Linked DNA regions of Drosophila melanogaster. The protein of the gene in region 2 interacts with the protein of the main gene of each other region in a biochemical or structural test. Each region holds a gene or a part of one and is shown on either strand. Other genes may lie near its edges. The genes, in order: kel and Act79B.

Region 1 (4,950 bases), on a different chromosome or scaffold from region 2:
CTCGCTGCAAATAAACCAAACACAAGCAGTTAGTAATGGGGCGCAAGGAATGAGAGGAGTGGGCTAAGTAAATTTAATTAATCGCAACCGGTTCAATGGTTTATATTGCACATTTGCTTTCGGTTTTGCGTCTGTTTACTGTTATATAAACTTAATAATTAACTAATTTTGTTTCTGCCTGATGAAATCAATGAGAACTTATATAATTCTGATACTTTGGTTATTACTAATTCAGTAGTTGAATTCGAAAATATAATTAATATAAGATTAAATTCGTGATCTTATGGAAACCCAAAATTAGCGACTTCAAACAGATGCTGGAAGACACCAATGCGTGACTGTTAAACTATTTAAATTTTGATACATTCCAAACACACCTAGGAATTTAATCGTTTTTATAATATAATTAAAAATCCTTTTTGTTGAGTCTAAGGAACTTTAACTTGACACATGTTATTAAATGTTACTATAATTATTAAAATATCTGATCCCATTAATCGATTCAATTGATATTGTTGTACGGCAGCTTTCTATCCTCAATAAATAATAAATAAATAGTCACTTCACTGGAATTTAAATACGAATTACTATCCGTAGATATAGAACAAACTAAAGTGAGTCTTCCCAATATACATGCTCTAAAAGTGAACACTGAACAGATACAGTAATGGATTCCTATCTGTAAACAGGCAAATCAAAACAATTTTATATTTGTCTGCCCATACTGCGTCATCACAATCTAGCCACTTACTTGAAATGCTGCTCGATGTAGGTCTCTGCGTAATTGAGAAGTTCCACGCAGGCATGAATATCGGCAAACTCCCGGATGCCGAGGCAATTACTGGCATCCAACTGAGTTTGCAGGAAGTCGCAGCAGGCATCTCGCACATCCGTGAGCTGGAGCAGGTTGGCGGCGGTCAAGAGGACTTGCACGTTATCCTCGTTTACCTCCACCGTGGCAGTGTATACGTAGTCGATGAGCAGCTCCAAGGCCCGAGCATCGACACTCTGGAGGGTGATCCTCGCCTGCCGCGACTCCTCGAAACTGGTGAACATCGCATAGAAGTACGGACTGCAGGAGGCCAGCACCATGCGGTGAGCGTGGATCTCCACATCGTCGGCCACCAATATCACATCACAGAGCTGTTTTTGTCTGTTATAGGTAAAAATATATATATATCAGATTTGATACATTTTTTTGTACGCAGTAAATTGGTTAGTAACCGTCATGTATCGACAATATTGAGACTTTGAAATCCACTAGCAATAGATCGTTTTGATTGCCAAATAAACAGTTTAAAAGCGTGCTAAATATCTTCAAGGCTGGTATGTATGTTTGTAAACAAAAGTGCTTGAATTTTTTCAAGAGGAAAATATTTTGTTTTGTAAAAAGAGACGGGGATGCTATTAACTGTGCAAATTATGGCGCCATTAAATGATGATGACTACTCGAAAAGACTAAGATCTTTTGTCTTCAAAATCGTAAGGTGTTATAATTATAACCCAATAAAAAAAATCTCATAGAATATACACCTCACGAAATATTTGTGTGATTCAATTCCCAATCAAAAAGCAATCCACATTACAACGCTCGGCTTACTTTTTGGGTTATACCACATTCACTTTCGCGCCGAATACGATATGATTGGTCCGAAAAAAAAAACTCGTTTTATGTAAGCTACCAATAAATTTTCCATACGCCCAGTAGTTTTCCAAAAAGTAAGCAAAGGCGGAGACGCGGAAGCGGAATCGAAATGCGATTCGAAAACGAATATCATTTTTGGCCGCAACCAAGTTCAAGGTCGTGGCCCAATGCGAAACCCGAAGGCGTAAGCAACTCATCATAATAAAAACTAGACAATAATTAATGCGAATGGCCCCACGACAAAAGCGGCGGCAAATATTCGTTTATACATATGTAGTGTGCAAACACAAATATTAGCAACGGCCAGATAAACAAAGCGAACTGCGCAAATATGCGAGAGACGATCATCTGACATTTTCAGAGATTTTATTTTCGCATCTTGGCCCAAATCTCAAAGCTCGAGAGCCAGTCGGTCCACCTGTTCCCGTCGAACACGCAGGGATTGAATCATGCGCCTTTGTCCGGGAACAGAGGAGATGAGTTTATAATAGAGTGTAGTTAGCACAGTTCTATTTATATTAAGTTGAGGTAGGTCGTCATATTTAACAACTGAAAGTTTTAGTGGTAGAAACTCAGATCAGCTTGTTTTGTCAAGGAAATAGTAACTGGGAAATAGCTGACACCTTTTTAGAACCTGAACGAACGTTCAGCTGGTTTGCTGTTGAGCAAACAAATGACATTTGAAACATTTTTCGAACCGTTGTAGGTGTGCTTATTTACATAATCAGGCTATAAAATCACATAGATCTAATTCTGCATATCATTAAAAGTCCTATGTGGGTGCTGTGTGTTCTATTCTCCAGGGCAGGTACAAAATAACCAATGTTCTACCTAAGGTTTTTAAAACCTCTCACAGGTAGGAATTAGGATATAATACTATTTGTGGATCTAAATATACTGCCTTAAGGTCTTTAGAAACCCTGGCTACTTCTTTATGATGCTTAAGGACTTAACCAAATTTTATAGTCGTACGAACTGATCCTTCGACAGGATCTCGTGCCATCCTTACTTTCTCATCTCGTTCATGGCGTCGAAGGAGCGCGCCGTATGCTGTTCATTGCTGTACTGCCCCACAGTGCCGCGCTCCTTGCCATTTGGCCGCTGGACGTGCTTCTGGGAGCTCTCGTCCAGGGAGTTCTGGCTGGCGTAGCGCAGAAGGCAGCTGCCCCGCTCCAGGCCACTTCCCTCGGCGGCGGGATTCTGATGGTGGTGGTGCTGCTGCTGTTGCTGCTGCAGCAGGCGGTTGCGCTGCTGCATGGCTGCCACGCCCACTGCGGCACCTAGTCCGGGCGGTGGCGCCACGAACTCCGCTCCCGCTCCGCCTTCATTCTGTGCTGGTTGTTGTGGGTTCTGACCCTGTTGTTGTTGCTGCTGCTGCTGGTTGTTGTTGTTGCTGTTGCCATTGCTTAGGTTGCTCATAATACCGATCGTATATTTGGTTAGCAGCGCACTCAGAGCTATCATCCGAAACGGATCGGAAACGGAAGTCGCAGCGAATCGAAGGTGCCTCGCCTGGTCCGAAAAAACAAACCGAGGTGGTGAAAAATTGTACACTTTTTGGACGCGACCAGAGCAGTGTGACCAGCCTCGGGTTGGTCGCAAGTTACCACTAGCGATGAATACTCATCGATAGTCCGATAGGCATTTTCAACCAGTTCTCACTGAGCTGGCTTTGTTTCCAACTATAAAATTAATGATAAAGTCATTTAATTTTTGAATTTTTGTAATTCACTTGAATTACATCTTAAATATGACCTCTCCCCTTTAATTTTTATTTATACGTACGTTTCAAAAAGTGTGATTTTTAAATTGATATACAAACTAATATTCCACATTTACCTAAACTTAAAAAAAGCATACCTAATTCATCTTATAAAAATATATAAATAAAATTGCAAAAAGATTACAAATATGCGACACAGAATTCATTAAGATTGCATATTCGAATTCCATAAAAGAAAGTAAAAAAGGTTTAGTTCAGCATAATCTTGATAGAATATCTATAGATATTTTATAGATATAAAATAAAATAAATAGAAATCTATAGATTTTAGTTGATTACTCTCATTTTATAAAGAATTCACGACTTTATAATGAAAATAACGAATGAGTTAAACATTCATTTGTTAAAGATATTAAAATACATCAATCATTTGGGTTGATTATGATTCCACACTTCTGATTCAAAACACACTTTGAGATTTTTTCTAATATCTTGATCAACTTTATTTGTTTGACTCTTTTTTCGATTTTGTTTTTGAATATTGATACGCATGCTCATCAACATGTGAGATATGTAAAATACATTAAATAGGTATTGGAAACAACTGCTTATTGAATGTTTACGAATAACAGCAACCACCTAGGTAGGAATACATGATTTATAATTCATTATATTAATATAGCTACAGCTTAATGCGAAAATCGGTAGTATTTACAAATGCTCTACACGTGTACAACTGACGGGTTTTTTCTTTTTAAACAAAGCACTCGCTTGCGAACGAAATCACTTCGAATAAATAAATAAAGTATATTCATAAATAGGCGAAAATTACATTTGGAAATTTGGCTAATGAGAGAGTTTTACACTAACTAAGCTGCATTCGTATCTCGTATTTACACGTAACAGTAACACATCATTTAGATTCCATACTTCAAATAAATACAATGAAATATTACAAGAATACCAGCGATTACGAAAAGCTCGATTGGCCCTTCTTTTTGCAATACTTATGTGTGTAGGAGAGAGGGTTGCTTTAGATAATAATACTTAGTTTATAGTACAATTAGCTAACTGCGATTTCGATTCTACATTCTACCAGCTCGCTTTCAAGAGTGCCACAACTCAAAAATCCGTCCGAGCTGCATTCCAATAGGTGAGATATATATGGTGAACATTTGGTTTTTGATCCATGACAGTCTTGTAGTAGCGAGCTAGCGATTTTGTTATGTGGCTTCGCGTTTGATCTTTTAACTTATGGTGGCGGCACACGCTGCACTGGGATTGTCTCAGTTTGAGTTTTGGTTTCTGGGTTCTGTTTGCCCCTCCGTCCACGTCCTGATCCTCAGGAGGAGTTGGAGTGACGCTCCGGCGTGGCGACAGTCTTCTGGTAGCAATTCAGATTGGCCGACATCCGACCAAAGGCGGCTGCCATGCGGTTGGGCAGCCTGCTGAGGTGCTCCTGAAGATTGGACGATCTGGATGAGGACGGAGCCGATGGGCCCGACGCCGTGGTGACCTGCTGCAGCTGGGCCACCACCTCGGCGTGCTGAACGTAGGAGACCCGTATGTTGACCCCCTCGTC
Region 2 (4,456 bases):
CTCTTATTTGTTGATCGAAACAAGACCTTCTAAGAACTAATTAAGACTTACTTAGCACTGATTACAAATACTATCTGCCCACTTAATTGATCCGATCCCATGCCACATTTAGCTGTGAACTGAAAAAGTTGCAATATATCGAAGTATTCAGAGCTCCTCCACCCCTGGATGCGGTTATCTACTGAGTCGGAGGAACCACAAGTCCCTGCTGGCGGGCATTATTTTTACCTCTTTCAACTACTCGACGCGCGTACGACCAATGATACGTGGTTGGTGTCCGTACCTGATCCGCAAGGTGGTCACGTAATGCTCCGCAGTTGGCGAGCACTTGGCAAAGTTAACGGGCCAAAGTTGGAGCTCAGAAGTTTGCTCCTTTGGGGAATGCACTCGCTGCAGTAAAAGCAGAGTGCATGCACCTCCTCGGATGGGGCACACTTAATTAGAATATCGGGCATTAATCTTATGGCTAATGCCACGATGAGATCGAGCGATATCGGTGGACAGGCGCAAAATTGCTGTTGGCCGCATGCACCGCTGCGCCAAACCCCCCAACCACTTTCCTTTGGGCTCACAGGGCTATGTGCCGTGCATAGCCGTACAAAATTATTTGATTCTATTTTTTCAATTTGATTTCAATGAAATCCACACGACAGCGTCAACATTTATAAGATGTATAAACGCAAGTGCTTTGGCTGCATTTTTGAGTGTGACAACATTCGGGCCACACCATCTATGGACTGAGTGGGGGCCCAGAAGAGCATTGGCACCAATTTCTCTTACTCGAGCAGGGAAAAGCTGCCTACAAGACCAAGATAAAGAACTTGGGGGAAAGGCTGGCCACTACATTGCATTGTTCACGGGTTGTTCTTGTTGCTGCGCCGCCGTTTTGCGGGGGTTTATTTATATAAAAACTTAAAAATATATCTACAGATGCCTATACAAGTCCTGGCGCATATTTCGATATGTTCTCTCCTCTGTTCTTTGTCGAAGTCATAGCAAAGTTGGCAGCCAGACATAATTTAGCGAAAACGAAATGAAACTAAGTGATAAATGGTATTTGGGAATGGAGCAAATTGAATACTCTGAACGAACGCAAAATCCCGATAATGCTCTGACTAATACGACTTAGGGCCTGATGGAAATAAATTATTCTATCAAAAAACGGAGAGCCTATTGTCAGAGCTTAAATCGAAGCTCGTTAGATAAATCCATTTGTTAGCTTTGGCTTAACACATTCTGTCATTTGATGCTTAAATTAAAAGTAATTGGAATACCCAATTTTGCTATTTGTCAAAAAAATATATCTATTGTGTATATTTGGGACTATTGCCATTCTAAAACAATATATAAAATAAATATAAATATTTATATTATGTATGTATATTTATGACTATTGCCATTCTAAAACAATATATAAATATCAAAACTATCTAGCCTAAGCCCAGCGTTCCAATAAATTATTTATTTTCCCAAATTTCACAAGCTTATAAGTGTGTGCGGATTAAAATTCTAACAATATAACAAGACTTACAACTTACAAAACAACTTATTTTATATTGAAATCTAGTACCAATTTAGTTGCTCTAAGTTGTGGCTTAACTAGGGTTCTTTAATTCGTAATCCAACTTGTTGCCGTAGGCGTAATACCCGAAATCAGAACACTTTTGTGAAATCGAAATGATGTGCATCCGACCACCCTCCCCGGAAACGCCTGATCCCCAGCCAGCGTTGCATATCGCGGAATTCATCAACATGTTACTAGATGAACAATTGTTCGAGATGACAGGGACATGGGCGTGGGGCCGGCGGGGCGGGACAGAACTTATTTAAATGCAGCTGCCGGAGCGCATAACGAATCACTCTGATCGCTGTCGCTGTTGGATTTACACGTCGTGAGTGTAGTCTTGTCCGCCCATCCGAAATCCGTAACCCGCATAAGGGATAACCGATCTGTCTGTATCCTTGTAGTGCCGCCCGCACCAAACTAACCAAACATGTGTGACGAAGAAGCATCAGCCCTGGTCGTAGACAACGGCTCCGGCATGTGCAAGGCCGGATTCGCCGGAGACGACGCGCCCCGCGCCGTATTCCCCTCGATCGTAGGCCGTCCCCGTCACCAGGGCGTGATGGTGGGTATGGGTCAGAAGGACTGCTACGTGGGCGACGAGGCGCAGAGCAAGCGCGGTATCCTGTCGCTGAAGTACCCCATCGAACACGGCATTATCACCAACTGGGATGACATGGAGAAGGTCTGGCACCACACCTTCTACAACGAGCTGCGTGTGGCCCCCGAGGAGCACCCCGTTCTGCTGACCGAGGCTCCCTTGAACCCCAAGGCCAACCGCGAGAAGATGACCCAGATCATGTTCGAGACGTTCAACTCCCCGGCCATGTACGTGGCCATCCAGGCCGTGCTCTCCCTGTACGCCTCCGGCCGTACCACCGGTATCGTCCTGGACTCCGGTGACGGTGTCTCCCACACCGTGCCCATCTATGAGGGCTATGCCCTGCCCCACGCCATCCTTCGTCTAGATCTGGCCGGTCGCGATCTAACCGACTACCTGATGAAGATCCTCACCGAGCGCGGCTACAGCTTCACCACCACCGCCGAGCGCGAGATTGTGCGCGACATCAAGGAGAAGCTGTGCTACGTCGCCCTGGACTTCGAGCAGGAGATGGCCACTGCCGCCGCCTCCACCTCCCTGGAGAAGTCTTACGAGCTGCCCGATGGCCAGGTAATCACCATCGGCAACGAGCGCTTCCGCACCCCGGAGGCCCTCTTCCAGCCATCGTTCCTGGGCATGGAGTCCTGCGGCATCCACGAGACCGTCTACCAGTCCATCATGAAGTGCGACGTGGACATCCGCAAGGATCTGTATGCCAACAATGTGCTGTCTGGCGGCACTACCATGTATCCAGGTGCGTAGTCTTAATTAATTAGGACCATAAAGTTCAGAGGAAATTCTTCCGAGGGAATGGGATCAAAACTATGCGGGATACTTAAAAAAAAAAACAAGTGTTACTTTATACATTCATTTGGCAGAGAGGAAATCTTTAAATAATAAAGCCTAAATATTTAGCTGAGCTTTGTAATAACAGTTAAAAAAAATCTTATGGAAAGTAGTATTACAAAAAAAAAAAAAAGAATTCACCTAATGGGTTATATCCTTTCCCTATATCTCATATTCATGCATGCTATTATTAAAATGTCATGTAATGAGTACACCAAAGCTCCTCGGTTCTGTAGCACCACTAATGGATTCTATTTCTGTCCTCTTCAGGTATCGCTGACCGTATGCAAAAGGAAATCACCGCACTTGCCCCGTCCACCATCAAGATCAAGATCATCGCCCCGCCAGAGCGCAAGTACTCCGTCTGGATCGGTGGCTCCATCCTGGCTTCGTTGTCCACCTTCCAGCAGATGTGGATCTCCAAGCAGGAGTATGACGAGTCCGGTCCCGGCATCGTCCACCGCAAGTGCTTCTAAGCATCCAAGCCACCCAAACCAGATCAACATCTCCTCGAGCGCGGCCCTGGTGTTTGTCTCCAGCGTAAGACATCCGACCAGGCGCCGGCGCCAAGGGTGAGGACGCAGTTCAGTGAAAAGTATCTTTAAATTACATTTAGTTGATGAAGAAGTTTTAACATAGATAGAGAAAACAAGAGAAAGAGACGAGAAAAGACCGGAAACGAGCGGCAACGCCTTCTTTTTTTATTATTATTGCTATTTTTATTTGATTTGACTCGGAATTTGTACTGCTTGACTCGCTTGCCAGCGCGTAAAGTGGCCAAAACAATCGGTTGTACGTACAATAAAAACCAATAACCCATGTGAATCGAACCCAAGTCGAACGTCACAGGAGCAGCAGGAATGCGTGGTGGGGAAACTTTTTTAATTAGGCCTCGACGAATGTCAATCAGGCACTTGCCGGCCAACTTTTATTCTCTAACAGCTGCCATGGCAATCCCCCAGTACGGGTATCTGTATCTGTATCTGTATCTGTATCTGTATCTGTGCATCTATCCCCCCGCATGCTCTTCTGTCACATTTTCACAAACCCAGATGGATTTTCCACACGAAGAGAGGTTGCGAGGAATGACTTCTGGAGGACTGAAGTCGGAAATACAAGGAGCAGCGACAGTCTTAACTGGAGCCCAACTGCTCACAGAACTTTTCGCCAACATAAATGTTTGTGCTCAACTTTTGGCTGCAAACTTTTGAGGTTTCGCCAAACTATGCATAAACCAGGTGCCGAAAACTGTTGCTTAATTAGTTAGGGCCAAGCTTGCTGGAGTCGCCAAAGAAAAGAGTCTAACTGGGTTTATTGGTCTAATGTCTGCTGCTAAGTCGTCAGTAACACGGAAACTCTTCTAATGACTAGGGAGCACGTGCATTCTTGATGTTTTTGGGCACCCAAAATCTTGCCCCAAAACCTTGCCAATTATGATTTTAGAG

The links.
Region 1: the proteins of Act79B (region 2) and kel form a complex in vitro, tested with the Drosophila melanogaster proteins (one study listed by BioGRID).

Annotation. Positions count from the first base shown.
Region 1 is NT_033779.5:18,134,823-18,139,772, forward strand, and holds the start of kel (kelch), read right to left. Parts: upstream 3,262-4,950; 5' UTR 3,110-3,261; coding exon 2,655-3,109; intron 1,154-2,654; coding exon 752-1,153; intron 5-751; coding exon 1-4. UniProt on the Drosophila melanogaster protein: Component of ring canals that regulates the flow of cytoplasm between cells. May be involved in the regulation of cytoplasm flow from nurse cells to the oocyte during oogenesis. Binds actin.
Region 2 is NT_037436.4:21,983,357-21,987,812, forward strand, and holds Act79B (actin 79B), read left to right. Parts: upstream 1-1,853; 5' UTR 1,854-1,892; exon of another isoform or gene 1,893-1,968; 5' UTR 1,969-1,994; coding exon 1,995-2,919; intron 2,920-3,281; coding exon 3,282-3,487; 3' UTR 3,488-3,834; downstream 3,835-4,456. UniProt on the Drosophila melanogaster protein: Actins are highly conserved proteins that are involved in various types of cell motility and are ubiquitously expressed in all eukaryotic cells.